4 linked regions of the Oryctolagus cuniculus genome follow. The main gene of each other region encodes a partner of the protein of the gene in region 4 in a complex. Links are inferred from orthologs where the notes say so. Each region holds a gene or a part of one and is shown on either strand. Other genes may lie near its edges.

Evidence for each region.
Region 1: CBLL1 (region 4) and ZC3H13 share a complex: the UniProt entries of both Homo sapiens proteins name them as parts of the WMM complex. The link is inferred for Oryctolagus cuniculus from reciprocal best matches to the Homo sapiens genes CBLL1 and ZC3H13.
Region 2: CBLL1 (region 4) and WTAP share a complex: the UniProt entries of both Homo sapiens proteins name them as parts of the WMM complex. The link is inferred for Oryctolagus cuniculus from reciprocal best matches to the Homo sapiens genes CBLL1 and WTAP.
Region 3: CBLL1 (region 4) and METTL14 share a complex: the UniProt entries of both Homo sapiens proteins name them as parts of the WMM complex. The link is inferred for Oryctolagus cuniculus from reciprocal best matches to the Homo sapiens genes CBLL1 and METTL14.

Annotation. Positions count from the first base shown.
Region 1 is NC_091440.1:65,037,443-65,045,016, reverse strand, and holds part of ZC3H13 (zinc finger CCCH domain-containing protein 13), read left to right. Parts: intron 1-696; coding exon 697-800; intron 801-1,137; coding exon 1,138-2,328; intron 2,329-3,061; coding exon 3,062-3,577; intron 3,578-6,903; coding exon 6,904-7,056; intron 7,057-7,574. UniProt on the Homo sapiens protein: Associated component of the WMM complex, a complex that mediates N6-methyladenosine (m6A) methylation of RNAs, a modification that plays a role in the efficiency of mRNA splicing and RNA processing.
Region 2 is NC_091436.1:8,319,488-8,327,800, forward strand, and holds the start of WTAP (pre-mRNA-splicing regulator WTAP), read right to left. Parts: upstream 5,134-8,313; 5' UTR 4,873-5,133; coding exon 4,725-4,872; intron 1-4,724. UniProt on the Homo sapiens protein: Associated component of the WMM complex, a complex that mediates N6-methyladenosine (m6A) methylation of RNAs, a modification that plays a role in the efficiency of mRNA splicing and RNA processing.
Region 3 is NC_091439.1:46,512,324-46,520,692, forward strand, and holds the start of METTL14 (N6-adenosine-methyltransferase non-catalytic subunit), read right to left. Parts: upstream 4,273-8,369; 5' UTR 4,114-4,272; coding exon 4,048-4,113; intron 1-4,047. UniProt on the Homo sapiens protein: The METTL3-METTL14 heterodimer forms a N6-methyltransferase complex that methylates adenosine residues at the N(6) position of some mRNAs and regulates the circadian clock, differentiation of embryonic stem cells and cortical neurogenesis.
Region 4 is NC_091434.1:136,456,276-136,463,849, forward strand, and holds part of CBLL1 (E3 ubiquitin-protein ligase Hakai), read right to left. Parts: intron 4,862-7,574; coding exon 4,761-4,861; intron 4,332-4,760; coding exon 4,248-4,331; intron 2,657-4,247; coding exon 2,583-2,656; intron 1-2,582. UniProt on the Homo sapiens protein: E3 ubiquitin-protein ligase that mediates ubiquitination of several tyrosine-phosphorylated Src substrates, including CDH1, CTTN and DOK1. Targets CDH1 for endocytosis and degradation.

The sequences.
Region 1 (7,574 bases), on a different chromosome or scaffold from region 4:
CACAGAGTCTTAGTGGAGCCTTATTCCACTAGGACTTGGCTGCTCCTTAATCTGCTACCATGATATTCTGTAATAGAGCTAAAAAGGGGAAGAAGCTAATATTTACAGTACAGTATCTATCCCCATAATGTGCCTGGCCCTGGGCTTCTGACACAATTTATTCTTCATTGCTGTTTTACGAGAAGAACTTTGATTTTCCTCCCATTTTCAGATGAGGAAGCTCAGGTTCAGTGACTTCAAAAAACTTAAAGTTGCATAGTAAGTAGTAGTGTGGCTATGAGTTGAACTCAAAGCTTTTGACTCCAAAGTCAGGACAAAATTCTCTTACTCAGTTTTCCAGTATAAGGTATTTCTGTGTCATAAGAATGTAAAATTGATGAGTGTTTGTATTAGAGGTACTTTAATATATTGATTTCTCAGCTGCATGCAGTATTTGAATCTGGAAGTTTTCAGTTGAGTGATTCTACATGTATATGGAAGAAAGAAAGGTGGCCATGTTAAGTCCACAACTGTAAGTCTTAGCAAATGAAGTGTAGAATTTTTATTAAAGATGCTGAAAACCTTTTGTTTGACAGTGTCATTTTCCTGCCATTACATGTTCTAATTGTAATTAAAAAGTGCTAGTAAAAAACATAGTGAAGAAATCTCTCCTTTACTCCTTGGAGTTTTATAATCGCGTTTGCTTGCCCAATTTAGGAAACGCTATCGAAATGAAGGAAGCCCTAGCCCACGGCAGTCACCTAAGCGCCGGCGTGAACATTCTCCCGATAGTGACACCTACAACAGTGGTGATGATAAAAGTAGGCAGAGTTTCTTTTCCATTTCTCTATATTCATATATTTGTTTGTAACCATGAAACCATACTTCGCCATTAGTTGTAACTCAAGAGTTAAGATTTTCAAAGGTTTTCTTGCTCTGTTGCTTCTAAATATCTCATGTGACTAAAAAATACACATTTTATCTCAGTGTCAGTGTTGTTTCCTGCTATTAATGCTAAAGCTATATTGTTTTCAATTGAAATCGTTGCCACTTAAAAACCTTAAAACGAAGTGAGAGATTGGCTTGTTATGATGTGTACATAACATGCAGTGTTTGTTAACCTGGTGAACATGTGATTACTTTTGTCTTTCTGTCCAGATGAAAAACATAGACTCTTGAGTCAGGTTGTACGACCACAAGAATCGCGTTCTCTCAGTCCATCACACCTCACAGAAGACAGGCAGGGTAGATGGAAAGAAGAGGATCGCAAGCCAGAGAGAAAAGAGAGTTCAAGGCGCTATGAAGAGCAAGAACTCAAAGAGAAAATTTCTTCTGTAGATAAACAGAGAGAACAGATAGAAGTCCTAGAAAGCTCAAGAACACGTTCACAGGACATTATAGGACATCACCAGTCTGAAGATCGAGATATATCTGATCGAGTTCATGATGAAAATAAGAAAAAAGCAAAAATTCAGAAGAAACCTATTAAGAAAAAGAAAGACGATGATGTTGGAATAGAGAGAGGTAACCTAGAGACAGCATCTGAAGATGGTCAAGTATTTTCACCAAAAAAAGGACAGAAGAAGAAAAGTATTGAAAAGAAGCGTAAAAGATCCAAAGGTGATTCTGATATTTCTGATGAAGAAGCCGCCCAGCAAAGTAAGAAGAAAAGAGGCCCACGGACTCCCCCCATAACAGTTAAAGAGGAGTTGGTTGAACTTTCCACTGATAAGGATGGCATTCTAGAGGATCTTCAGAAAAAAGAAGATACAGCTTTCAGTGATTGGTCTGATGAGGATGTGCCTGATCGTACCGAGGTGACAGAAACAGAGCACACGGCTACCACTGTCACTCCTGGTGGTACCCCCTCTCCTCTGTCCTCTCTTCTTCCTCCTCCACCTCCTATGGCTACTGCCGCTGCGATGGCTACTCCTGCTCTTGCCCCCACTGCTACTGCCAACTCCTCCACCACGATTTCCACCTCTGCCAATACCACCAGTACTTTTGCCAATGAGGATTCACATAGAAAATGCCACAGAACACGAGTGGAAAAAGTTGAGGTGTGTCATGTTACTATAGAGGACACCCCACATCGCAAGCCAGTGGATCAGAAGAGGAGTAGCAGCCTTGGGAGCAATCGAAGTAATCGCAGTCATACATCTGGTCGTCTGCGCTCACCATCCAATGACTCTGCCCATCGAAGTGGGGATGACCAAAGTGGTCGAAAGAGAGTACTGCATAGTGGCTCAAGGGACAGAGAAAAAACAAAAAGCCTGGAAATCACAGGAGAGAGAAAATCGAGGATTGATCAGTTAAAGCGTGGAGAGCCCAGTCGAAGTACTTCTTCAGGTAAGAAAACTGAATTATGATCTAGTCAGTATTTCCTATGATAGTCATGTTTTATACAAGTTATAATTTCAAGGTAATGATAAATTGATTATTTTATTTGCTGCCTTGAATTTTACAGAATTAAAAGATTTAGCTGTCCATTAAAATGTTAGTTGGTACCACTTTAATTCCTATATTAAAATAGAAGTATATTCAATGCTATTAATCATTTTAATATCAAGATTTTAGTAGTATATGTTAGTATATGTGTAGTAGTATATGTTAGAGCTTATATATTCAATTCCCTAATCACTGCCCACAATTTTATCCTTCCTGCTATGCCTCCTTTAGCTAATGCTACCTCTTTTGACCATAGAAAATAAAATAAGAGATTAGAGAAATCAAGTAATGAAAATTATCAGTTCTGTTACTGCCTTACCATTTAATGTACTCATTTCTTTGAATATAGCTTGTAACTGTAATGGAAATAGACAAGGAAACATGATATTTTTTAACATATTACTTAGTGCTTTATTTGAGAAAGTTTTTTTTCCTTAAAATTTGACTTCCATATATATATAAATAATATGTAAAATAGAGAAGTACATAGAATATATAGAAAGAATAAAGAATATAGAAAAATGCATAGAATAGACAAGAAAATCAATTATAAGTTTTAAAGAACCCCAAATTAAGTGTTTTGTTCCTGTTTTATCATGTGTTAACTCTTTGTATATGGTATGTTTATTTTTAGATCGCCAAGATTCAAGAAGCCATAGCTCAAGAAGGAGTTCTCCTGAGTCAGATCGACAGGTCCACTCAAGGTCCGGGTCATTTGACAGCAGAGATAGGCTTCAAGATCGAGATCGATATGAGCATGATAGAGAGCGAGAGAGAGAGAGGAGGGACACAAGGCAGAGAGAATGGGACCGGGATGCCGAGAAAGATTGGCCACGGAACAGGGAAAGAGATAGATTGCGGGAACGAGAACGAGAAAGAGACAAAAGGAGAGACTTGGACAGGGAAAGAGAGAGACTAGTTCCTGATTCCATTGAAAGGGATAGGGACAGAGACAGAACTTTTGAGAGTTCTTCTCAAATAGAATCTGTAAAACGCAGTGAAGCAAAACTGGACAATGAACATGAAAGAGATCCAGACGGTAGTTCACGGGACCCTGTAGCTTTGGATAAAGAAAGAATGGATAAAGACCTGGGATCTGTGCAGGGGTTCGAAGATACCAGTAAAGCTGAGAGAACTGAGACTGTCGAAGGTGAGTGCCACACCTTTTTGTGTGTTATGCTGTTCCATTCCTTTTCAAATTTCATGTGAAACAAGTATTTTCTTTTGCTAGGTCATCACTAGTAGATACATTGACTCCATTCTTTTATAGGGGAAGTAAATTTCATGAGAAAAAGGCCTGTAAACATATTTAAAAAAAAAGTGCTTCCTTGAATAATACTATCACAGCAGATTTGCTTCAAATAGCCTAAATAGATTGTTTAGATGCAGTATCTATAGCTGTGAAAGAATAAGCATCACTTACAAAAATTGAACTCACTTATTATTAATGACACCTGTTCAAGCTAGTTGAAGAAAAATATCTGAAAAATAATACTATCTGAAACTGTATTTAATATCAGTTAATTCTAGACCTGTACAGGTTCTCCCTACTCCTAGAGTCAGAACACTGAGACTTCCCAACAACGCTTTGACCCACTCAGAGCCAGCCTTGCTTGTGGAAGCTCTCTTGCCTCTGCTCTCCACCCTTCAACTCCAATCTGGTAGACAAACTGGTACCTGTAATAGCTAAGGGACACTGACTCCAATTAAGAAAGTGCTATTTTACAATGACTAGTTCAGTTATATTCGGGTATACCCCAGGATTGTACTTCTGCTAGAACTAGGGCTCTTGATTTGATTCTATTTATACTCAAAATAGAGATGAAAATGTAATATAAAGTTAGTTGAGGTACAAGTAACAAGATGGCATATTTATTTGATAGGCAGTGTTACAGAGAGACAGGAGCTTCTTCCAAGGTCTCCCACGTGGGTCCAGGGCTCCAAGCACTTGAGCCATCCTATGCTGTGTCCTCATGCACATTAGCAGGAAGCCGAATCAGAAGTGGAGCAGTGGGGACTTGAACTAGGATGCCAATGCCATGAGTGGCAGCTTAACCCACTATGTCATGATGCTTGTCCCAATAAAATAAATCTTTTAGAAAAAGGATTTTACTTTTGGCTCTAGTGCTATCAATATGGCAAATTAAAAAATGATACAATATTACTGCTTATATCCTAAGTATCCCATATTTCATCCCCAATCCATTAAACACAATGATTTACACCTTTTTATTCTCTAGCTCTTCTTTGTACCTGCTCTTCATTGCTTGCAAGATCTTTTCTTTTTTGTTTTTTCTTTTTTACTTAAACTTCTGAGTCCCAGCTTATGCATTATTTTCTCTTTAAAGACTTTTCTGCTAAAGGCACTTGCTTTCAAATTCTCATAGAACCGTGTTTGTATATCTTATCATATCCCCACATTGTATTATTTTCCTGTGAGTTTTTCTCCCCCATACTATGTGCCTTTGTTATGACTGTTGCCTTTTTCATCATTTATTTTCATGACTACATCATAAGGACACAAAAAATGGCTTTTGAGTGAAGATATATTCTGTTTATACATGATGCCCCTCACATCTTAACTCCTTTGTAAATTATGGCCTAAATTAACAAAAACAATAGCTTCCCTGAGAATTCTCCTGGAAATTTTGCTTCTTTGGGACTGTCTAGTCTGGTGTCTAGTACTGACACTGTTTTCCTGACCTAGTTATCTACAATAAGTGTCTGACATGATTATTATTTTTATTTGCAGTGGGCCCATTGATAAAAATCCAATGGTTTTTATACACAGATCCTAACATGTTTTGGTTATGGGATTACATATCTCCATATGCCATCTTGTTACATACTTTTTCTATTTGACTTGACAAAAATTATTGTACTTTGACTTTCTTCACTTTATAATTTCATCTCAATTTTGAGGAAAAATAGCATCAGATCTTGAGCCCTGGTTCTGATGGAAGTACAACCTTGGGCTATAATTGAGTACAATTGAACCAGTCATTGTAGTAGTTCTTTTGTGATTGGAGGCAATGTCCTTTGGCCCTAACATATATCATTTGCTAGTTGTTATTACAGATAATATACCATAGAAATTTATAGTTGAATCATCTGCTGTGTAATGTGAAGATCTTTATTTACTTGAAGTAGGAAAATGAGTGGATATAGTTGAAAATTTAAAATTCCCATATTGTGCATTCATATTTAAATGTATCCTTATATGGCAGTGTTATTAAAATTGATCATCTTAGAGGTGAAATGGTGGGAATATAGGGAAGTTAATGTAGAATTTAGTAGAACAGAAGAGTATTAGAATGATTAGAATTATGTCATTGTTTCATATATTTTATTTGCCCCAAATTCCTGTTGATAAAGCATCTGTTGCAACTTGAAAACTAGTGTTGTAGACTTGGTAAGGTATATGAAAAACTAGTGATTAGAAATACTAAATTTATCTGGTTTTATGATTAAGTTCATGACAAACTCATCTCAGGAGACGAGAAAAACTAATCAAATAATTAGAATTATGCCAAGGGGTGGTATCAGGAATATTTTTGAAATATAATAAATCATTGTTCTGGAAGTTGTATTCATACACTAAAGGAAAACATTGGGAAAAAGCAGAGAAATTCAGGAGGTAGAGAGAATTAATGGCACATTTGTGTTTTTACCTTGCTCCAATAAAATTCTTCATATGACAAGCTAAATCATATGAACTGAGATTTAACTTTCAAAATTTTAGAATAACTTTGTAGACTTTAAAAAAGTTACTCTTATGTTAGGTATAAAACTTATTATAACCTTTTGAAGTTGGGTTTATCTGACTTAAAAGTTTTATTATCCAAACTGAACATAATATACATAGTCAGCTAGTTAGCACTCATGTTAATAGTAGATTTTATTTTTTCTATTTTAATTATAATCTTAAGATCTGTTCTGATATTACTGTTAACATATTTTTGCTATTAAAATTAAATTATTAATTTTTTTTTTGACAGGCAGAGTTAGACAGTGAGAGAGAGAGAGACAGAGAGAAAGGTCTTCCTTCCATTGGTTCACCCCCCAAATCGCCGATCCAAAGCCAAGAGCCAGGTGCTTCCTCCTGGTCTCCCAAGCGGGTACAGGGCCCAAGCACTTGGGCCATCCTCCACTGCCTTCCCGGGCCACAGCAGAGAGCTGGACTGGAATAGGAGCAACCAGGACAGAATCCGGCGCTCCAACTGGGACTAGAACCCAGGGTGCCAGCACTACAGGCAGAGGATTAGCCAAGGGAGCCGCGGCACCGGCCAAATTATTAAATTTCTATTTTTCAGCTTTCTTTTGAAATTATCATCTGTTTGAACAATTAAGAAATAATAGTTTTCTGATGAAAAAATACCTTTCACATTGTTTTAGTGTGTACAGCTTTTACTTATTGACCTAGGCATCCTTTCTTTTTAATGTTCTCTTTGACGTGAAATTAATTTGTCTTTTCAGCTGGAGAAGATGAGTCCAAGTTAGACGATGCACATTCCTTAGGTTCTGGTGCTGGAGAAGGATACGAGCCAATCAGTGATGATGAACTGGATGAAATTCTGGCAGGGGATGCAGAAAAGAGGGAAGATCAACAAGATGAGGAGAAGATGCCAGGTAAGCGTTTGCAGATGTGGTTAGACGTAAAAATTACGTGACTTCTGGTGTTAAAGTATTCTTTCTTCCCTGTCATGCTGTAAAAATCTATTTAACACACTTAACATTTTCTGTTTTTTATTTTAGTTAAGGTTGAAAGGTCAGGAAAATGAAAATTATATACCTGTGCATTTTTTAAAAAAATATTTATTTATTTGAAAGAGAAGGAAATGCTCCATCTACTGGTTAACTCACCAAGTGGCTGCAATGACCGGGGCTGGGCCAGGTCTAAGCCAGGAGCTAAGAGCTTCATCCAAGTCTCCCACATGTGAACAGAGACTCAAGTACTTAGGCTAACTTCTGCTGCTTTCCCAGGCCATTGTAGGAAGCTGGATCGGAAGTGGAGTAGCTGGGACTCGAACTGGTGCTGCAGGTGGCTGTTTAACCTGCTACACCACAGTGCCAGACCCTTAGTAACTAATTCTTAAAGGAGTTTTTTTAAAAAAGATTTATTTATTTTACTTGCTACGTGGAGTTAC
Region 2 (8,313 bases), on a different chromosome or scaffold from region 4:
TCTGATCCAGCTCTCTGCTATGGCCTGGGAAAGCAATAGAAGACGGCCCAAGTCCTTGGGCCCCTGCACCCATGTGGGAGACCCAGAAGACGCTCCCAGCTCCTGGCTTTGGATCAGCACAGCACTGGCTGTTGTGGCCAATTGGGTAGTCAACCAGTGGATGGAAGTGTGCACGCACTCTCTCTGCCTCTCCTCTGTGTAACTCTGATTTTCAAATAAATAAATCTTAAAAAAAAAAAAAGTGATCATTAGAATGCTATCACACTGAAAAAAAAAAAGTAAAAAGGAGAAAACTCTGAACTTCAGTTTCACCGTCTCAAAAAAGACTATCACCATTATGGTCCAAAATTACTCTATTTTGAAGACACACTTCAGTATGGTGACCGGCAAAAAATGGGCATTTAATTTCTTTCTCCATGAGAAACAGGGAGAGAGGGAGAGAGGGAGAGGGGAGAGGGAGGGATGGAGGAAAAGGAAAGAAAGAGAAGAAATAAATCAAGAGTTTAAGAAAGGATTTAGTTGGGTCTAGTGCTGTGGCCCAGTAGGCTAAAGCCTCCACCTGTGGCTCCAGCATCCCACACGGGCACCGGTTTGTTGCTCCTCTTCCGACCCAGCCCTCTGGTATGGCCTGGGAAAGCAACAGCAGGTGGCCCAAGTGCTTCGGCCCTGGCTTCTGTAACTCTACCTTTCAAATAAACAAATTCTTAACCTAAAGAAAAAAATTAGTTTATTTATTTGAAATGCATAGTTGGAGAGAGATGGAGAGATCTTCCAACTGCTGGTTCACTACCCAAATGGCCAGTGGGCCAAGCTGAAGCCAAGAGTCTGAAACTCCAGGCAGGTCTTCTATGTGGCTGGCAGAGGGCCAAGTATTTGAGTCATCTTCCACTGCTTTCCCAGGTGCATTAGCAGGGAGCTGGATAGGAAGTGGAGCAGCAAGGGCTTCAACTGGCACACATATGAGATGCCAGCATTGCAGGCAGCAGCTTAACCTGCAACACAATACTGGCCGCAGAAATGAGTTTCTTTAATAACCCTAAGAGAATTCACAGACTGAGGACAACTACCATGATGTCCTCCTGTCTTAGTTTCTAACCACAGAATCCTTGGTGTGCTCCAATTTTTAGAATTCTGAAAGATAATTAAGTTTTCTAACACTGATTTATATTTTCCTTTTCAAAAGTTTGATGTTGGGTAGTATGAATTAAAATGGAGTTTGGAGGACATCAACTTTTCTTTCTTCCTTAATTTGAGAGACAAAAGCTTCCATCCCCAATGCCCTCAGTGGCCAGGACAGGCTGGAGCTGGGAGCTGGGAACTCAATCCAGGTCTCTCCCACGTAGGCAGCAGGAACCCAACTACCTGAGCCATCCCTGCTGCCTCCAGGGTCTGCAATGACAGGACACTGGATGGAAGTAAGAACCAGGGCTGGGAACAGACCCAGGCACTCTAAGATGCATTGTGGGTGACTCAGTCATTAGGCTAAACACAATCCCCCAAAATAAATTTCTGAAGTTGTAATCTAAGTCAGGGGTAAATACAGGTTTTATTCGCATGCATTTTCACAGGTCAGCTCTCGAAAGAGCTGCAGTTCATTCCATGTATGGGGTATTCAGCTTAGGAAACGAGAGCCTCAGAAAATCTGTAACTGATGCAAAGTCCATCTTTCCTTAAGCACTCATGATATGCCACATAAATTCACAGTCAAAGGCAAAGTAGAACTGGTTCAAAACTCTTGTAAGATTTTATTTTTTTGAGAGGTAGAGTTACAGATAGTGAGAGGGACAGACAGAGAGAAAGGTCTTCCATCTGCTGGTTCACTCCCTAAATGGCCACAACGGCTGGCCAGAGCTGGGCCAATCTGAAGCCAGGAGCTTCTTCCAGGTCTCTCAAGAGGGTGCAGGGGCCCAAGCGCCTGGACCATCCGCCACTGCTCCCCCAGACCATAACAAAGAGCTGGATCGGAAGAGGAGTAGCCTTTATGGGATGCTGGTACTGCAAGCAGAGGATTAACCTACTGCACCACAGCGCCAGTCCTAAAAACTTGCGCCATCTTCCACTGCTTTCCCAGGCTATAAGCAGAGAGCTGAATCTGAAGAGGAGCAGCGGGGACAACTGGAGCCCATTTGGGATGCTGGTGCTGCAGTCAGAGGCTTAACCACGGCTTAGGAGGTTGAAAACAAATTAACATACAACATTCAACTACTCAGAACAGAACTCAGTTCTCAATTTTTACCTTCACATTGCATAAACACACCAAGAAATCTATTAATCCCCAAGGTAATTTTTTACAACCTGACAAGCTCAGTCACCATCTACAGTTGATTCTAGGTTCACAAAAAGATTCTTAGAATAATCTTCCACAGGAAAACTAGAAGTACTAAAACACCATTTTAAAAAAAGATTTGTTCATTTGAAAAGCAGTGTGACATAGAGAAAAAGAGATCTTCCATCCAACGGTTCATGTCTCAGATGGTTGCCAAGGCTGGGGCTGAGCCATGTCAATGCCAGGAGCCAGGAACGCCATTTGGGTCTTCCACAGGGGTGGCAGAGGCCCAAGCACTTGGGCCATCTTCCCCTGCCTTGCCAAGCACATTAGCAAGAAGCTGGATTGGAAGTAGAGTAGTGGAGACTTAGACCAGCAATTGGAAGTGGGATGCCAGCATCACTTAGCCTGCTGTGCCACGTCACCCCATAACATCATCTGGAATCATCAGAGTCCTGAACCTTGAAGGTGAAAAATGAAAGCATATACACACAGACACCACACATACACGTTCACTGTCTATGAGTCACATTTATTCAATAATCACAACTTTTCAAAGTCAAAACTAGTCTCCATTTTCCAAGATGAAAATGTGACTCATTAGGTGATCAGCTCAGCGTAAAACAGCTATTAATGAACTAGAGGTTTGGGTCCTAAATCCAGTGTCTCTCAAAAGTTGGTAACTGGGGCCGGCACTGTGGTGCAGTGGGTTAAAGCGCTGGCCTGAAGCGTTGACAACCCATATGGGCGCTGGTTCTAGTCCCGGCTGCTCTTCTGATCCAGCTCTCTGCTGTGGCCTGAGATGGCAGTGGAGGAAGGCCCAAGTCTTTGGGCCCCTGCACCTGCGTGGGAGACTGGGAGGAAGCTCCTGGCTTCGGATTGGCACAGCTCCGGCCGTTGCAGCCATATGGGGAGTGAAGCAGAGGATGGAAGACCTCTCTGTCTCTACCTCTCTAACACTGTCTTTCAAATAAATAAAAAATAAATAAAATAAATCTTCAACCATGGCTGTTGTGGGCATTTGGAGGAGTGAACCAGAGGACGGAAAAATCTGTTTTTTTTTTTTTTTTTTTTTTAATAAAGCAAAAGAGAAAAAATTCAAAAGCAGCTATATTGGCTATTTTTAAGCAAAGTTTAAGATTGATTTTTGGGGCTGGCGTGGGCACCAGTTCTAGTCCCGGCTGCTCCTCTTCTGATCCAGCTCTCTGCTATGGCCTGGGATAGCACCAGAGGATGGCCCAAGTCCTTGGGTCCCTGCAGCTGCGTGGGAAACCCAGAAGAAGCTCCTGGCTCCTGATCGGTGCAGCTCTGGCCATTGCGGCCATCTGGGGAGTTAACCAGTGGATGGAAGACCTCTCTCTGTAACTCTTTCAAGTAAATAAAATAAATCTTAAAAAAAAAATGATGATGATTGATTTTTAAATTATGTAAAGGTTTCAATTATTCTTGTAGATCATCCCGAGATAACGTTAAAATATCAGAATCAACATCTACTCGATGCCTTTTATCACAGGAGAAGCGGCTTAGGAGGTGCCTAGCACCCTACATTCCAGTAGCACCATGATGCTTTATTAGGCAACTCAGTGCTTCTCTGAAGGCGTGTGCTCTAGAGAAACAAATCACAACTGCATTTAAGACTCCATCACCTGATACCACAGTAACCTTTACACTAGAGTAGAAAGAGTACTGCTTAGAAATTCGAGAACCGCCTATTTCTCACACTTGCATTGGTCTTAAGTGTGATCTTCAGCAAGTTACTTAATTCTGTGCTACCGTTTCCAAATTAGCAAAAGGGGGGTACCAATTTTGCAAGCTTAATGAAGTGCTGTAGAAACAAGGATTTTAAAATATGAACATAAAGGACAACTTTAACATGCATTTCGTAAAAATTAAACTCCACCAACATCTTCCAGGTGAACACTTCTTCATAGCACTGAACACCTTTACAGCCTATTCTATCCAATGGAGTATCCTATTACGGGAATATTGAAAAGTTTGTCCTTAATAAGCTAGTAACTATATCAAATAAAAAATATTTGGAGGTAGAAAAGTGGGAGAAGATTTAACAAGTAAAAACAAGAATGGAACCAAAATAGTTAAGCCACTCTGCTAAAGGATCCATCAACATATAGCTCTGACAAACAAGACACAAACAATGTAGGCACATTGTAAAGACGAAAACTAAGACAGTATTTCCAAGGAGACTCTGTACTACACACACCCACGAGACCCAGCAGCTTTAACAATCGTCGTAAATGCGACCGTTACAACTCCTGGCCTATCAAAGGGCTCCTACCCATCTTCCATATCGTACCTACCAGATAATTTGTGACAAATATGCGAAAACATCTTGAACATGGCTCAGAGCGGAATTGGGAAAACTCGCTGTAATGAAGACCCACGAATCTGGGAAGCTGTGGACACCCCAGCGGTGCCCGGATCCCACTCCCATTGTTACCTCCATCCTGCGGGATCTGGCTCTTTGGACAGTTCACCAGTTCTGCCGCCGGCTTAGCTGTCTGCCCAAGACACCGGAAGCCCTGACAGCACTGCACCCTTATCGCCAGCCGCCTGCGGGGCTGCAATCTCCCTCCAACTTGCCCCATCAGATGCTATGGAATGAATGAAGTTAAAATCCAGCCGTCGCGAGAAGATTTTCCCACACCGTGTAAGCGGAGTTTCATACGTCTACACCACGTTCACCTAGCACCGAAAATTTCACGGCCGAAATTTTCACACAAAAAAACGAACGTAATTGGCGGTGACTTCCGAGGGAACAGAATAGCCACACGAGAAAGGCGACCGGAACGTGCCCACGCGGGATCGCTTTTCCACCGGGAAGGGACCCGTGTTTTTTTATTTTTCCCGTCACAGCCTCGGCGCGCCAGGACTTCCCCCAGTGCCCTGGGGATCCACTTCCTCCCGCAGGAGCCTGGGCCGCGCGCGGGGTCCGCGAGCGGCGTGGAGGACCCCCGGCGACGGGCGCGCGCCCTCGTCCCGACATGGAAGCCCACGGAGCCCGCGCCGCGCACCGGGCCCCGCCGCCGCCGCCTTCTCCCCCGCCGGGCCGGGCCCAGACCAGCAGGGCCGCCCCAGCCGGACCTCCGGGCCCCGCGGGCCGAGGCAACATGGCCTCGGGGCGGCGGAAGAGGAAGCGGGTAACGGGCGGCCGGCGCGGCCCGGGCCCGCGTCGCCCCGCAGCTCCCACAGGGGCCCCGCGGCCGCTCTCCCGCCGCCCGCCCGCACCTACCTCTCCGGGCCGGGGCCGCGCGGCCGCCGCCAGTCGCACAGGCCGAGGCCCCGCCGCCGCGCGCCTCCTCCCGTCACAGCCCCGCGCGCCCCTTTATTTGCGGGTCTCGCTGCCACAAAATGGCGCTGAGGGAGGACGCCAGGCCCCGCCCGCCGCCCGGCCCCGCTCCGCCCCGCCTCCCCGCTCCGCCATGTTCGCGTCGGGCCCGCTCACCGTGGAGGCGCCGCCGGCCGCCCGGCCCCGCCACAGGCGAAGAGGCGAGGAGCGCGCGGCCGCCGGCCTAGCCCGAGCGGGACCTGGCGGCGGAGTCTGCAACCCGGAACCAGCGCCGCCGCCGGGGCTCCGCCAGCTCCGGCCGTGTGTGTGTGTGTGGAGGGGCGACGTCGGGCGAGGGGGCGGGTCGCCGGGGTCGGAGGTCAGCCGCGGGGCATGCCGGGAAGGCGGCCCCGGTGGACGCGCTCGCGTGGGCCGCCTGCGGCGACGGCGCCGCCGGGCGGAGGGATCTGCGCGAGGGCGGCGTGCGATTGGACGCGGTGCTTCCGCGCGCCGGCGGGGCGGGGCCGGCCGCCTCCGTGTGCCGCCTCGCGCGTGACGGGCGGCCTCGTGTCCGCGCGGGTCGTTCTGCCGTGGCGTCTCCGGCGGCGAAAGCGAGCAGCCATTGTTCTCGAGCGGAGGGCGGCCCCGGGGCCAGGGGAGGGCGGGCCGTGGACGATGGGGCGAGCCCGGTGGCGTGAATTCCGTCAGTGGAGTGTACTCGGGTGGGCGAGACTGCCTTGCGGACCGCTGGGAAGACGCGACGCGGGGCCGGGGGCGCCCCGGGGGGACCTGCCTTGGGCCTGCTGGACCCCAGCGTGGCCCCCAGGGCAGCCGGCCCGGGCGAGGCGGTGCGGGGAGCCCGGTAGCTCGCCCTGCAGAATGTCCGGCCTGGCCTCGGAGCGCCGGGGTCGGGGAGGAAAGCCGGGGCCGGGTCTCGGGAGAGGCGGCTCGGCTGCGCTCCCGGTGAGCGCACTCGTGAAGTTAGGATAAACGACCCGAGCGCCGAGTAACCGGTGCATTTCTGCTTCTGCCTGTCCCGAGGCAGCGGGTGCACAAGGGTCCCGCCGTGTCCCGGTGCAGGCTCCGTCAGGGCCGCCGCAGCCCAGGGAGGAGCGAGCTGCGGCTTCGTGCGGAGTCCAGGTCGCAGCAGGTGCATACAGAGGAAGTGGCAGATAGTAGGAGCAGGACTTCTCCGACAGAGCTACAGGATGAATCAAGAAGGGAAGCAAAGCCCCGGGTCGAAAGCGATTTGAAAGAAGTGAACTTTAAATCCAGTCGGCAACGAGGAAGATTTACAGAGGAAAGAATTTCCCTGGGGCTTCGCAAGGCCGTAGTTGGTGACGCCCCTGGAGAGAGCCGGCCTCCGCTCCGCGGAACAGGGCTGCGAAGGACTAGGGTTGATGGCTGGCATTTGAAACTACTGTAGGATAACGCAAATAACTTGATGCTATGATGTATGAAGGTTTTCTGTGTGATGGAAAATGAGAAACAAGATCAGAGAGGGTGGGAAAAATTTTACATTGGAAATACCAGTTTGAACGTGATTTTTTTAAAAAGATGTATTTGAATGGGGGGCTCAGAGAGACAGATCCGTCTTCCGTGCAGTGGTTCACTCCCCTAGTGGCTGCAACAGCTGTGGCTGAGCCAGGCTGGAAACCAGGAGCCAGAAGCTTCTTCCAGGTCTCCCGTGTGGGTGGCAGGGGCCCAAGCACTTGGACCATCTTTTGCTGCTTTTCCGGGTGCGTTACAGGGAGCTGGATTGGAAATGCAGCAGTATGGGATGCTGGCACGGCAGGCAGCAGCTTAACGCACTGTGCCACACACCAGCCCCTGAATGCATGACTTTACAGTAAGATTCCTAGTTCCAGGCTCTGAAAGCACCTAGACCTAGTATGGTGACCAGTTGTCCCTGCTCCCCAGAGACCAAGAGGGCCTCCTGGGATCCCTGACTGTCAGGTTAAACTGGGGCAGTCCCCAGCAAACCAGGAAGGTTGGTCCCAGTGAGCTCGGAATCCCATTGCCCACTGAAAGGCTACAGAGCTCCTTGGAGAACTGGCTGGTTGTAGTTCTGGGAAGTGCAAGATGAGGCAGGTATTTTTAGGGCGAGGTCATGTGACCAAGACACAAACTTCCCGGGAGGTGGCCATCACATCAGTTGACCAGGAGAGGAGGAGCAGGGGCCTCAGCTATAAAAATGAGGGAATCTAGAAGGTGAAGCAAATATTCTATTGTGGTTACCCCTTAATCCGCGTTTATGAAAGTACAGCAAGGGGCCAGCACTGTGGTGCAGTGGGTAAAGCCGCCACCTGTGACACTGGCATCCCTTATGGGCGCCAAGTCCCAGCTGCTCCACCTCCATCCAGCCCCCTGTGAATGCGCCTGGGAAAGCAGCGGAAGACAGCCCAAGTGCTTGGGTCCTTACACCTCTGGGAGAGATCTGGGTAAAGCTGCTCGCTCCTGGCTTCGGCTTGGCCCAGCCACAGCCCAGGGCACTGGCCCCAAAGGATGCATTTTTATTGCATGTAAATTATACCTCAGTAAGGAGGAAATAGCCCAGACAAGCTGAATGAAACACACAGTCTGTATTGAGAGCTTGCTGTAGCAAGGGAGTCGGGCGCTGTCCCTTGTGTTTGGCAGGCCCGTGGGCCAGTGGGAAAGGGAGTTTCCAGTGCAGCAAAGGGGGTGGTTCCAGGTTTGCCCTGACGGGAGGCTGCAGGTGGCTCACTGGACGCTGGGCGTCCCATGTGATGCCCTTGGAATG
Region 3 (8,369 bases), on a different chromosome or scaffold from region 4:
TGCTAAGGTAGATTAATCCAACAGGAATCAAATGCAAAGACTTTGCACTCAAACTCGTTATATGATATATGACAGTTATATAAAAGTAGTGGAAGGATCAATGGTAAGGAAAATTAAGCTTATAGGAAGTACATAAGCCTAAGAGATTAAGATAAATTTCATCACTAAGTTCTGGGTTGCACCATGAAGATAGATGAAATTCAGAAAGGAAGGCAACTTTGAAAAACCATAAGGTGTATACTACATAAATCCTATCCCAGAGAGTAATAAACAAGTCTGTCATGTTCACACAGAGAAAGGCAAGTGAATCACTCAAACTACCGTTTCACGGGGCATTCTTCTTGGTTTGCATCCAACTGGAAGACCGGGAGATAGCTAGTATACCAGAACGAGCATGGAAAGGCCTAAATTACAATTGTAATTTGCAAACTACCAGCTCTGTGACCTTGCTCATCTCTAAGCTTCCATAATCTAATTTGTAGGTTTGAAGAAAGGATTTAATAAATGACAGTCATTATTAAATTTTATGCACTTAGTAAGCTCATTGAGGGTCATCACTTTTGGTGCCAAAACAGTTTTCACGGGGGACAGGGCAATATTTTGGACTGGAAATTACACACACACACACATACACACACTCACACACACTATACATATATATACACCCACATCTGTGTGCATGTATATATACATATATGTAAAATGAGGAGGAAAAAATAGTAGAGGAAAAATATGGTTGGTGGAGGAAGGGATGGTTGGGGGAGAGAGACCCAACACTGACAAAAAATGGCCACTTATTTAAAAGAAGTTTGAATAAAGGCGTCAAAACTTCAACGTAATTTTCTGGTTAAGAACTTCAAGTACTATACACCAGAAAATGTAAAACTGTTAAATCAACAAATAAAAAAATCTTAAGCTCCCCCAAAATGGAAACTATGAAAATCTGTGTCCCTAAAATAAATGCAATAGTGCAAGTCTTTTCCTCCAACATGGACGACCTCATTCAAAGGGGAAAAAAAAGGACAGAATTTTACTCATATTGCCCAGTATATGTAAAACAAAACCTGTTCATCATTTGCTAGTTTACTAAATAGCAAGCAGTTGCATAATTCAGAAGCAATTTGTTACTATGTCAAGTGCATTTTTCTGTTTGTTTTTTTACTAAGATAGAATGGAGAAGTCTTCCATGCTAACAAGCAGCTTTAAGTGGTCACAATTATTTACCCCACTTCTTGCCTGAAACATCAGAAAATGATATGTACTGATTGCTCCAAGCATAACATTGGATAACCTTTGCCATAGCTGTGGTTTACTGGAACTTCCCATACAGACAGACAATACTCCAGCAGCTACAAACTTTGCTCACAGAATTGTTTAGAGATTCATGTAAAAATAAAAGATGTCATCCCAGACTTAAATTCAGGAGCCATTCGGGTGCTGACATCAGTTCAAGAAATTGTGCAAAATGAATGACAGTTCCCTGCCCCCAAAATAGAAAATGCAAACACTTAAGAGCTGCTGTTCTTTCCCCCCGAAAATTGCAGTATCCTCACTTCAGGTGTACTTGCCATTTATGGAATCTAACCACTTTTAAAATGCCACTAAAAGTACATCAAACTGACAGACTTTTCTAAGCATTCAAGTGATTTCAACGGTCACATTGAAGCTAAGAGAAACGTCAACTATAGACTTACTCAAATAATTGACTTCCTCCTCCCTCCCTCCCAAACACACAAGACTCCCTCCCACAGAGAGCAAAGTTGTTAACTGAAAAACAAGATAAATAATATGCTAGTCCATTTTACTGATTTTAAAGATACTGCAATTTTTATATACTTCAATGATTTTTCAACATTTCGCAGCTGTTTGGCTTTGCAGCACAGCAATTCATACACTATACTGTACAAAACTACCAGCCAGACTGGAATGATGTATTAATAGAAGGCACCATCATGCTTATTACATTACCAGAGAACAAAAATACAGTAAAGACAATTTTCACTGTACACAGTTTAAAGAAAGGAAAAGGGGGAGGAGGAGTGTGTTGAGCAGCCAACCATCCCTGCACTGAAGAGGGGCAGGTAGAAAAAACCTTAGATGTGGAGCTACTAAATCTGGTCTAATATTTAAGACCATAACATTTGAAGTTCTGATTTTCGTTATTTACTTCGTAACTAAATGATTTCCTTCTGGAATATACTTGTAGTCTTGTTAAGGTTTATGTGTACTCACTCATAATTCATTTGTCAATACCTACTAGAGTCTCTGATTTTTTTTTTAGTGTAAAGCTAAAAAATCATTACATGAATGTGTTTTAAGTCAAAGATTAAAGTTTAGAATGTGTGAGTGAAGCACCTTATGCGGTGGCAACAAATGTTTTTTAAAATAACATGATAAAAGAAGTTGGTAAAAAGACTTCAAAAGGATACCTGGATTGTCCAATAGTGAAATGCCTGAGAGACAAAGGACAGATCTGATTCCGAATTCCCACAACTTCAACAGTATACCACAAATCTGTTCATCAGATCATGAAAGAGGACAGGTTTCAGGTATGCATTTACTAGTACTAAATTATTTATGAAAACTAACGGCAAAGATGCCTCATTAAAGCCTATGATCATTTCCCTCATCACATGTACTGATCTGAATGGAAGAATGGAAAACAAAGCCCTGACTTTAAGCAGATGGGGGGCAATCTGTATTTTATACATGTGTACTCTAATCAGCAAACGTTAATTAACTCATACTCAAGACAAGCTTTGCTGAGAGGAACATAGGTTCAGTATCCTGGTGGAGACGTGAGTGACCAGGGCTAAAAGTACTTAACCTCTAAACCCTATTTCACTCTTGAAGAAATAAATAATAACATTCATTTCAAGGGGTCGCTGTGAATGATCAGAACATTGTGTATACATAAGATAAGATGCAGGCTCTAAAATTGATTGATCCCAAAGAAAGCACTGTTAACAACGAAGCCACATTTCAAGAATTGATGCTGACTACGAGAAATAACAAGACACAGAACACCATCTGAATACTGAAAGGAAATCTAGGGGACACGTCGCTTCTCCTTCCACGAACTGCAGTAATTTACTTATATACCAAAGCTTTGTATCCTCCTCGTGGAGGCCCTAGCCAGACACTTGGCATGCGTTCCTTAGAGGCTGCTGAAGAGTAATCACAGCATTCTTCTTTTTTTCTTTTTCTTGTCAGGCAGAGTGGACAGGGAGAGAGAGAGAGAGAGAAAGGTCTTCCTTTGCCGTTGGTTCACCCTCCAATGGCCGCCGCGACCGGCTCACCGCGCTGATCCAAAGCCAGGAGCCAGGTGCTTCCTCCTGGTCTCCCACGCGGGTGCAGGGCCCAAGCATTTGGGCCATCCTCGAGCCTTGCCCCGTCGGGGCGCGCTTGGACGAGGTGCGGTCACGACGTGAACGACCCGCTGGTGCCCGTCCCTTCCCCCGCTGGCTCGGGCTCGCCCTCGCGTGCCCGCCGTCGTTTGGGGTCCGCTCCGTCTGCTGGGGGTGTGTGTCTGTGGGGCGGGAGCCTCCGGGCCCCTCCTCCGCCGCCTCTGCCGCGCCCCGTCCCGTCCCTGGGGGTGTGTGCGGGTGAGCCGCCGGGGCTTGACCCACTCGCGTCCGAGGACGCCCCCGATTCCGCCGGCTCTGTTGTCCGGCTTGCTTCCCCGCGGAGGCTGTGGCAGAGAGCTGGCCTGGAAGAGGGGCGACCGGGACAGAATCCGGCGCCCCGACCGGGACTAGAACCCGGTGTGCCGGCGCCGCAGGCGGAGGATTAGCCTAGTGAGCCGCGTCGCCGGCCTACTCATAGCATTCAATGTGGCACCACAACGACCGCGGCAGGAACTGGAAGAAAGTTCAGGTCACGACGGGAAATGAGAACAAGACCAGAGGCCCAGGGCTCAGGGTCGCGGGATCAGGAAGGCGCTGACAGAATTAGGAAGCAAGGACAGAGAAAGGCAGGAGAACGACAGTGCGGTCGCGCAGGCGCATTTGAGATCCCTCCCCACCTGGGCCACCCCTGGCTGCTGACCTGTTGTGCAAGGAGCCGTCGCCGTAACTTCTGCCGCTCTCGGATCTCCTGCAAGCGGCTATCCATGTTCCGTCTTTCACCACCCGAATACTCGCCACTCTTGAATGAACCCCTGTCCAATCTCGCGAATCACTGGAGCAAACTTTACAAGGAAGTACCTCCTGCGACTGCACACCAGCAAGGCTTTCCTCTGCTTGGATTTCCGGCGCGACCGGAATTGGCGCGCCCAGATCCGGAAGTCCCGCCTCCTATCGGACGCCTGCAACTTGACGCCACCTGGAAAGGACCCAATGAGAGGCGTTGCTGCGCTAGAGGGGTCTCAAGCCTTTTGGCCTCTGAGCGCCGCCCAGAAATGCTCTTTGGTGGTCCGCCATGGGACCATCGACAATCGTTTTTCACTTCTCTCTCTTTGGTAGGTCATCAGTATGGTTTAAAATACTGTTCTGAAATATTGATTGGCTTTTCCATTAATTCCCTAGTTGACACCCGTGATGTTTTAAAGCTTGACAGATGTCCCCCCACCCTTTTTCTCCTTAAGATGTATTTAATCGTTTAAAAGGCAGAATTATAGAAACAAATATTTTCCACCCATCTGCTCACTCCCAAATGGCTGCAAAGCAGGAGCCCGGAACTCCATTAGGGTCTCTCACGTGGGTGACAGGGCGTCAAGCACTTCATCCATCTTCCACTGCTTTCCCAAGCCTGTTAGCAGGGAGCTGAATCAGAAGTGGAGTAGCTGGCATGCTAGTGCTCATTCGGGATGCTGGCTTCAGAAGCGATGCCTTAACTTGCTGGACCACAATGCCTGCCCCCCAGGACTCATTTTTAACTGCAAGCACAAACTCAGCTTGCCCAGAATTGAAGCCTGGCCTCTCACTACCTGAGTGACCTTGGCTAGTCAACTACCTCCTGAGCCATAGGGTTTTTTGTTTGTTGGTTGGTTGGTTTTTGGTAAAATAGGAGTAATAAGAGTACCTACTCACAGAGTTGTGAAAATTGAAAGAATAAATGGCATCTGGCATGATGTGTGTTATATATACCTCATGATCTCATTTTTTTTTAAGATTTTATTTGTTTATTTGAGAGATAGAGTTACAGTTTGAGGGAAAGAGAAAGAGAAAGGTCTTCCATCCACTGGTTCACTCCCCAAACGACTGCAATGGCTGGAGCAGGGTCGATCTGAAACCAGGAGCCAGGAGCTTCTTCCTGGTCTCCCACACGGGTGCAGGGGCCCAAACACTTAGGCCATCTTCTACTGCTTTCCCACGTCGTAACAGGGAGCTGGCTTGGAAGAGAAGTAGCCAGGACTAGAACCAGCACCCATATGGGATGCCAGTGCTGCAGGTGGAGGATTAGCCTACTGTGCTGTAGCACTGGCCCCCTGATCTGGTTTTGAAAGAAAATTTTAAAAGAGGTGTTCTAAAAAATTTCTTGAGTAATGGTAGCAATATTTTTAAAAAATTAATTTCCAGGGAGCATATGCCATAACACATTTTTGAAAATATGAGTTAATGTATGTTTCTTTACAGATTGGTGGCACTTTGGCCTCTGGCATAGCAGTTAAGACTCTACCTGGGACATCTGCATCATACATCAGTGTGCTTGATTTGGAATCCCAGCTTCCCTTCTGATTTCAGCTTTCTCCTAATGTGCACCCTGGCAGGCAGCTATGATGACTCAAGTAGTGGAGTCCCTGTCAGCCAGGTAGGGGATCTGGATGGAGTTCTGAGAAGCTGACTTCAGCCCGACCCAGCCCTGTCTGTTGTGGACATCTGGAAATTTGTGGGCATCTGTGTATCTGTGTTTCAAAGAAAAATAAATACCCAAAAATCAGTTGGACGTCTTACCTGCTAATTATTTGAGTAGTAAACTGGTTTAAACTATTCAGCAATGATGGTAATGGACATTTGTTTACACAAATCTTTACTGCTATTGAACATTTTATATGACAAGCACTATGTTAGAGCTTAGATCCTAGCAGAAATCAAAGATTAAATAATTCAGCTTTTCTTTATGGAGGTATATTGTGTAAGGAAATTTTTTTTTTCCTGGAAAGGTACTATTTCAGTTAATTGACTGTGGTCTTTCATTCCAGTACTTCACCTACAGCTGCTGCAAGATGATGGTTGGGCTGGGTGTCTGCAAGCTACATACATTTCACACCTTTCCCTGACAGATGACTTCCAGTAAGATTGTGCCTACAGGAGGAACAGGGAGGAAATCAGAAGGTGGAACAATGGAAAGTATTGTTTTTCTTTACTTTTACTTTGCTCTGGCATCCAAGGGAATGGCTATGTCCTGTACAAAGCCCACAGTCAGTTAAAGCTGTTGCTCCTTTCCTCAAACCCCCAATGTGGCATCGTAGTAGTGGCCTTGCTTTTGAGCTGACAATACAACCTTCTCTCTTATGTATACCAGCTTTAAGACTGGTAGCCACTTGCAGTTAGGAGTTTCTATTTTAATTTCACTTTCCCCTTTTGCTCTTCTACCCCCATTATCTGTGTAACCATTTCTCTGTAGTAACTGGTGTCTGGTTAAAATACTTTGAATGATTTCTGTTTTCCCACATGGGAATCTGACTGATTAAAGATGCAGATGTGTACTACCTTACAGTATTTACAAAGCCACTGGAATCCTTCAGAAAGTTTTTGCAGTTTTTACAAAAATGGGAATATAATTCTAAAACCTATCTCTCCACCAGTGAGATTTTAAAACACCAGAGCACAGTAGAGTAGTATATGTGCCTACCACTAATATATTTTCATCATGGCAACATCAGAGCCACCAGAGAGTCTGTGTCATAGTAGGAGGAAAGAGAATAAATTGAGGAAGTTCCCACATGATTCTTCTTTGAAGAAGCAGTTTAACTTACATGCACTTATATTAGAAAGGTAAAAAGAGATCCACATTACAATGGATACATTTCTCCCTAGCTCCTTGACAATGACTCCTCTGAACGTATATGTCCAACTGCATTTTATGAGAATGACCTCCACAATCTCTGCTATGGTTGGAATGTTTTTGTCCTCTACAAAAAGTAATGTTCAAAGTTTATCCTCAATCCTTCCTGAATGAGGTTAGGTGCCCTTGTTACAGGGCTTGGTGAGGGCAAGGATTGGGGCACAGCTGGCTAAGCAACTTGTTATGATGCTGGAATCCCCTAACAGAGTGCTGACTGGAGTCCTGCCTGCTATGCTTCAGATTCAGCTCTCTGAATATTTCCCAATAAGAGCCCTCACAGCAGCCCTATGAAGCTGCCTTCCAAGACCCCCACCAAGGTGGTGCCCCGGCCTGGGGCCTCCCTGGCCGCCAAGGAGCCCAAAGCCTGACAAGGGCAAGGGCCCGCCTTGGACAGACTGCAAGCGGTGGCAGCGGCGGTGGCACAGCCCCGGCATCAGACTCCGCTGACCCCGGCCAGGGCCCGAGGTGCCGGCCCCACACTCGGCCATTGAGGAGAAGGTGATGAAAGGTATCGAGGAGAACGTGTTACAGCTCCAGGGCCAAGACCGGGCCCCGGGCCCTGAGGTCAAGCATCACAACACCAGCAGCATCTCCAGCTGGTTCGGCCTGAAGAAGAGCAAACTGCCAGCCCTGAACCGCCGCACAGAGGCCCCCAAGGGCAAGGAGGGGGCCGGCGGGTCTCCCCGTTCCGCAAGGAGGTTAAGATGGAAGTGCGGGAGCTGGAAGCCGAGAGTCTCAACATCCCCACGCTGGTAGCCAAGGCCGAAGACCTGCGGCGGGCGCTGGAGGAGGAGAAAGTCTACCTGAGTAGCAGGGCCCACCCGCGGCCCTGGGGCCCAGCCTGGGGCCCCACGCCGGGCCGCCAAAGAGCTGGCAGGACCCCAGGCCTGAGTACGATTTCCAGCCCTGGTGACCTCCAACCCCAAGAACCCCTGGCCGGCCTGCAGGCCCCGCAATGGCCTTGTGGGCCCACTCCAGGGCTGCGGGAAACCTCCCGGGAAGCCAAGCAGCGAGCCAGGGCGGCCGGGAGACCCCCTAGCAGGACAGCCTGGCCGAGGCAGTGCCCGCCTCACACTTCACAGCCTGTGGTTCCTTGACCGGAACCTTGGCCAGTGGCATCGGCACCTTCCCACCCCCAGACCATGGCAGCTGCGGGACGCCCAGCAAGAATCTTCCCAAGACCAAGCCTCCATGGCTGGAGCTGGAGCTCCCTCCCGGGGTGCCCCCAGCCCGGCCCCCGCCCTCACCAGAGTCCCGCGCCCTGCCCACACCCTGGAGCGGGAGGTGCCGGCCTAGAGGAGCTCCTGGTGAGTGGGCGGCACCCCAGCTTGCCTGCCTTCCCGGCGCTGCTCCCGGCCGCC
Region 4 (7,574 bases):
TCAAATCCAGCTCTCTGCTATGGCCTGGGAAAGCAGTAGAAGATGGCCCAAGTGCTTGGGCCTAAGTCTTTGGGCCCCTGCACCCACGTGGGGGACCCAGAAAAAGCTCCTGGCTCTTGGCTTTGGATCAGCCCAGCTCTGACTGATACGGCCATCTGGGGAATGAAACAGCAACGGAAGATCTCTCTCTCTCTCTTTGCCTCTGCCTCTGTGTAACTTTATTTTTCAAATAAATCAATAAATCTCTCTCACACATACACATACACACAAAAGGAATCATCCCTCACAACTATTCATAGCTTTGTTATCAACCAAGACTACAAATCTTGGGGTAACTTTAAGCACAGGTTATAAGGAATCTAAGAGGACTATGGCTATTCCAAGCAAGCTTCATTGTATTTCTGAAGTCATTAACAGGGAGCTCTAAATTGAAATAAAAACTCCTACTTTATTTTGGTTCCTTCAAGACATCCCCAGATAGCTATAACTCATTACTTTCTTGAGTCTATGTCATGAGGGTATTGTAACATATACTCAAGACAGAATCAGATTTGAATATACTAAGAGCTTATACTTAAATTTGCTTACTACATGCCTAGATAGATACTCCTAAAAATACACCAGAGGGGTAGATACTATTATCAGCCCTATTTTACAAAGAAGAAACAGCCTATGTCATATAGCTAATAGACAGCAGAAGACAGATTATAAAACCAAGCGTATTTGTTATAAATCAATACCATACTATCTCTAATGTCCCATCAAAAAAATTTAGAATAACAGCATGTGATTTATAATACTACTTGTAATTCTACAATGGCAAGTAGGCTTCATCATTTTAACCAATATGAATTGACAACAGTTACACCCAGGTCTATCTTAAGGAGGCTAATAACAACTCTGGGCTCATAGAGGAAGATTGGCCATGACTACACATTTGATTGCCTGCCTGTTTTAAAACATACTCTGATTTTCGACCCAGCTCATAATGATTATATTACAAACTAAACTGTTTTTAAAAAGATGGGGGCAGCCACTAAGTTGGCAGGTACTAATGCCATCTTACATATTAAAATGATATTCTGTAACTAATCATATAGATAGGATTGTCAAAGGGGTCACATAAATAAGACCAAATGTCTGCTAATAATAATAGATAGAATTAAAAAGAAGAGAATGATCCAATATTGGAATCAGGTCACACAGTGGACTCATAGAATGACAAATGCCCTAAATAACTCTCTCCTCAGAATCAGCCCTTAAGGCATTCAGATCTGGCTGAAAAGCTCCATGAGAACATTTCAGGCATAGAAAGCCAAGACACCGTGGCAAAAAATGATCTACACGAAGGATCTCTGTGAGATCCCAGTGGAAAGAAGGGGCCATCAAAGAAGGAGTACTTTTCTCTGAAAGGAGGAGAGAACTTCCATTTTGCTTATGGCCCTGTCTAAATACTGACAGAGTTTGTGGACTCAAAAGGCTTCCATAGCCTTGGCAGTTCATGACAAGAGCCTCAGGTGATTGCTGACATCATAAATAAGAGTGTCAATTGTTAAATCAACAACAGGAGTCACTGTGCACTTGCTCCCCATGTAGGAACTCTGTCCTTAATGAGCTGTACTATGAGAATGAATGGTAAAACTTGTCTTCAAACAGTACTTTATACTTTTGTGTGTCTGTGTGGGTGCAAACTGTTGAAATTTTTACTTAGAGTTGGTCTTCTGGATATAAAGATAATTAAAAATAAATCTTAATGGGGGCCAGCATTGTGGCACAGTACGTTAGTCCTCCACCTGCGGCGCCAGCATCCCTTATGGGCACCAGTTCTAGTCCTGGCTGCTCCTCTTCCAATCGAGCTCTCTGCTATAGCCTGGGAAAGCAGTGGAAGATGACCCAAATGCTTGGGACCCTGCACCCGCGTAGGAGACCCGAAAGAAGCTCCTGGCTTCGGATCGGCACAGCTCCGGCCGTTGTGGCCATTTGGGGAGTGAACCAACGGAAGGAAGACCTTTCTCTGTCTCTCCCTCTCACTGTCTGTAACTCTACCTCTCAAATGAATAAATAAAATCTTTAAAGTAAATAAATAAATCTTAATGAAGAATGGGATGGGAGAGGGAGTAGGAGGTGGAACGGTTTAGGGGTGGGAAGGCAGCTACAGGGGGAGGAACCACTATATTCCAAAATCTATACCTATTTAATTTATATTTATTAAATAAAAGCTCTCTTTAAAAAAAAAAAAAAAAAAAGATGGGAGTAGGTGTTTGGTCTAGCAAGTAAGATGCCAGTTAAGACAACTGCTTGCAATGCCTACATTCTGTACTGGAGTGCCTGGGTTTGAGTCCTGACTCTGCCCCCAGATACAGCTTCCTGCTAGTGTACACCCTGGAAGGCAGCAGGTGAAGTAGCTGCCCCTGTCATCTACACAGGAGACCTGGACTGAATTCCAAGCTATCAGCTTTGGCCTCAGCCTCAGTCACTGGAGGCATTCTGAAAGGGAACTAGTAGATGGGAGCTCTGTCTCAGAAAGACAGAAAGGAGAAAGAAACGTTTTTATAAAGAAATAATAAAAATTATCTTCTTACCCTGGACACATCTTATCTCCCTTTTTTTCATGTAAAATAGCACAGTCATAACAAAAAACATGCTTGCATGGAATCTGCAAACAAAGACATTATAATTAAGCATACTAGAACAACTTAGATTTTATTTCCACACAAAAGATCAATAAGCATAATCACCTACAGCTAGAAGGCACTGAGCTTTTAAAAAGAACATTTATTAAGTGCTACTTATTCAAAAGTAAAAATTAATCTTTGGCCTCCTTCCTAATAAATGAATACAATGTACACTTGTCTTTGGGAGCAACTTACCCTGTAAGTTTCACCATTGATCCCTATCCTATACGTTAAAAGCTCCTGACAACAACATTATAATCATGTTTAACCTTACCCTATTTCTCCTGAAACTATTCTAAAGAGGTAAAAATAACTAGTATCTCCTATATTTAACTAGCATTTCTTCCTGGCTTAGATTAGTGAACTCAAAAAAATCTAACAATCAGATCACAGTAAAATGATGCAAGAACCACACTGTAAAGCCAACAGCCCATTATTGTTACTTTGCTATGATACAGAGCAAAGCAATAGTGCATAATCCGTGCCCTCTATCATCACAGATATGAGTACAACAGAATCCAATCTTTTTTTCAAACACAAATGCAAAGCTATCTTTTTAGAGCGAGGACATGATAAAGTTACTATAAAATTACAGTTAGGGGTGTAAAAATATTTTTTAATAATCAGAATTCAATTTTTAGAAATTAAAAATATTATTTATGTATTTTATATAAAAAATAGTGAACTTCAGAAATGAATAACTAATGTTATTCTAGTCTGTTAAAAAAAATCAGAGGCCAGGGGCCAGTGCCGTAGCACGGTAGGTTAATCCTCCACGTGCAGCGCCAACATCCCACACGGGCGCCAGTTGGAGTTCTGGCTGCTCCTCTTCCAGTCCAGCTCTCTGCTGTGGCCTGGAAAGGCAGTGGAGGATGGCCCAAGTGCTTGGACCCCTGCACCCGCATGGGGAACCCAGAAGAAGCACCTGGCTCCTGGCTTCAGATTGGCACAGCTCCAGCCATTGCGGGAACCAACGGAAGGAAGACCTTTCTGTCTCCCTCTCACTGTCTGTAACCCTACCTCTCAAATAAATAAATAAAATTAAAAAAAAAAAATTGGAGGCCAGAGCTGTGACACAACAGGCTAAGCCTCCACCTGCAGTGCCAGCATCCCATACGGGCACCAGTTTGTGTCCTGGCTGCTCCTCTTCCAATCCAGCTCTCTGCTATGGCCTGGGAAAGCAGCAGCAGAAGGCCGAAGTGCTTGGGCCCCTGCACCCACGTGGGAGAACCAGAAGATGCTCCTGGCTCCTGGCTTCAGATTGTTCCAGCTCCAGCTGTTTTGGTCACTGGGGGAGTGAACCAGCAGATGAGGATTTTTCTGTCTCTCCCTCTCTTTCAAATTAATAAATAAAATCTTAAAAAAAATCTTTCCTTAAAAAAGTATAATAAATATAAACTGGTGTCACGCATACCAAGTACTTCTCTTAGCTAGTTCATATTTATTTAAATTAAAATGTCACAAACTCAGTCATTAGATAATGATTAACTGTATCTACTTAATACATTTCAGAATTCTACCTGGACACAAATGCACGCATTTACAAACAGTATTTAATTTAATTATGCTTACCATTCGTCCATAGATTTTAATAGGTAATCCACACTTGTCACAGAAGTGAACTGGTGTATCATCCTTTTCACCTAAGATGTTTATCTGTTGAAATGACATAATTAAATTCCCTTAATCCTAAAAACTGCATCTATAACACAATGCTAAACACTCTATCAATAGTAAATGGTTGGTACTTTATAAAAGTTGTTAAAAACAACTAGAAATAAAGGTTTCTTGGTATAATCCCCACATATTCACCAGCATTAGCTGTGCCACCGTTAGTTTACATTTTTAAATAGTTAAGAGTTATCAATCACATTTGACCTCACTGAAAATGATTTCAAATTATTTTTGGGAATAGTCAAAGTAGGGCACTCATTATAAACAAATGATGTTTGTGTTAAAAGTCATAACATTAACAAAAGCTTGTAAAAGATACCCCTTATATATTCTACACTGTTCTAATACCACATTTTAAGTACTTAATACCAATTTTATTGGTCTAATGAAAGTTTTCGTTTTTAATCGTACCTGAAAGTCCCAAAAAAGGTGTCCAGGAAACCTTCGCTGATTTCCAAACAGTTCACCCCCTTTACAGTCATACCGTTCCTCTTCATTATAATCAAATCCTTCTGAGAAAACAAAATGTTACTCATTAACTTCAAACCTCAAATTTCATTTGAGAAGTATACACACAGGACAAAGTAGGCCTATTCACTGGAAAGCCCACCTGATGACTTTCAAAGCTCCTCTAAGAACAAAATAATGAAGACTAGTTTAAAATATCAACTAGAAGTAAAACTGGTGATTACCTGACCAACTCTAATACTTCATAATTGAGACTATTACAGTATGGAGATCCACAATAATGTAACATATTAAGGTCAGCAGCAGGACCAGGAACAGATCTCAGATCTCTTGACACCTATTCAAGTGCTTCTATCAATTCAACAGACTATCTTTAGTCTAAAACCTCAAGATTACCATTATCATCATTTGTTGCACAAAATTTTAATGACATTGACCATCACTTATTCTAATCTATCTACAAATATGGTATGCTGCAAGAGACTGATTTTATTGTAAAAATAATGAAAACAAAGAATTCTGCGGATTTTCTTATTACTTAGTAAATTATACTTTCCCTTCACCTCTAATCTGAGCATGATTTTGGAACATCAACAAATTCATTCTTCACCCTTTCATTTTAAAACTTCTTCCTGGTTAATCCCCAATCAGCAGGAGCCATATGATATTTACAAGTATCCTGTCCTACACTGCATATATCAACATTAATAAACTTAAGACCAGTTGAAGATCAAGTTGGCTCAATTTCTCTGGTCTCATTAAAAAGTTGGTGGCAATTTTCTCATTTTACACAAAAGAACAGAAAACCGGTGAACAGTCTGATGAGAATTCTAGGTAGAATCCAATTACCTAAAGTAAAGCTGAGAAGACAAATATATCTCTCCAAGGTGCCAGGCTTGTCACGACTCTTTTGGCCCTAGAACTGGTAAACAGAGTAGCCAAAGCACACAGCTTCAACTTTACCCACATGGCTAACTTACAGTACCTGTGCAGGTAGATAGACACACACACACAGACAATAGTGATGCAAGAATTTTTTGAAGTTGATAAGAGATATTCCAATATACTGCTATTTAACTACTTCCAATATAGATGTACAGTTCAAAGTAAAGTTGATCTTATAAATTACACCTGAGTGTACCTACAGTCTTATATGGCCCATTCCTTATCAAAGGTGGTGTCATCCACAATTCAAAGTAAGAAAAATTGTCAATTCTTCAAATGCAGAAAATTATGGAGATCAACAGCCAAATAAATGAAGAGCACATTATAATTTTTCAGAGTAGTTCAACCTGTATTCTTCTCATTAAACTAAATATCCATAGAGATGTACTAACACCCAAAACTCCATATTTTGATCAATCCCTAGGGAAAAAAATAATTTTCTTTTACTCCAAACAGGTTAAGTCTAAAGTATTCAATGATTGTCTTCAGCCTCAAGTTGCTCTATTAAGAGAGAAAGGAGTAAGAGTAGTTCCCTCTAAAAAAAAGCCATGACCCTGAGAAGAGGAGGAAAACAACTTAGAGAAAAGAGGTAGCAGGGAGAATTTTTAGCTTTTCCTGCATTACAAGAATGTACTTGTACATCACTATAAGTTCATGAAAATACTTTGAAAGACCAGAAAACAGACTTTAATACTTTTAGAACTTTAATATACAATAATGGTGGGTTTTCTATGCAGCAAGGAAAAGATTATTCAATGATTGGGACAATGACAAGCTGTTTTGGAGGAAAAAACAGAAAGCCAGATCCCACTTTTGGCTTTTTTAAATAACCACATACGTATTCTTAAAAGATCCAAAGCAGAGGTCAGCAAATTCTTCTGTAAAAAGCCAGGCAATAAATCCTCTCAGCTCTGTGAGCCACATGGTCCATAACCACAAACACTCAGCTCTACCACTACTGTATGAGAGCAGCCACAGACAATACTGAAATGAATGGGCATGGCTGTTTTGCAATAAAACTTTATAAAAACAGGACCAGATTTGCCCCACAGGTCATAGTTTGTACTGACAGATGAGAGGAAAACCAGTTTATATGCACAGAATAGGGGAAGGCCTTTCTAAAACTGTCATAAATCCAGGAAGTCATAACAACAAACACTGGATATCTGACTGCATAGAATGTTTAACCTCTCTACAATAAAAAATTTATAGACAAAATTCAAAAGGCAAATGGGGAATATACACAATATATTAAAAAGGGTCAATTTCATTAATTTAAAAAGAACTCAAAAATCAAGAGAAACAGCCAAACAGAAAAATGGGGAAAGGATATGAACAGAAAGATCCTAAGCAAAAGACCAATATTATGAAAAGATACTCAACCTCAACCATGATTAGAGAATTGTAAATCAAAATCAAAATGTTTAAAGGTTAATAGTACCCAAAACTGGTGTGGAGAAGTATAAACAAATATACCTTTTTTGAAGAATAATTACAAAGTTTTTAAAAGTCTATGGTGTGGCCACTGTGATGCAGGAGGGGGTTAAACTGCTGCTTGTGTCACCCACACAGGTTTGTGTCTCTGGCTCCTCTGCTTCTGATATATCTTCCTGTTAATGCATCTGGGAAAATGGCAGATGATGCCCCAAGTACTTGGGTCTCTGCTACCACTTGGGAGACCCCAGATGGAGGTCCCAGCTTCTGGCCTGACCCAGCCCTAGCTACTGCACACTTCTGGGGAGTGAATAAGCAGATAGAATACATTTACCTCTCACTCCCACACTCTGCCTTTCAAATAAATAAATAAATGTC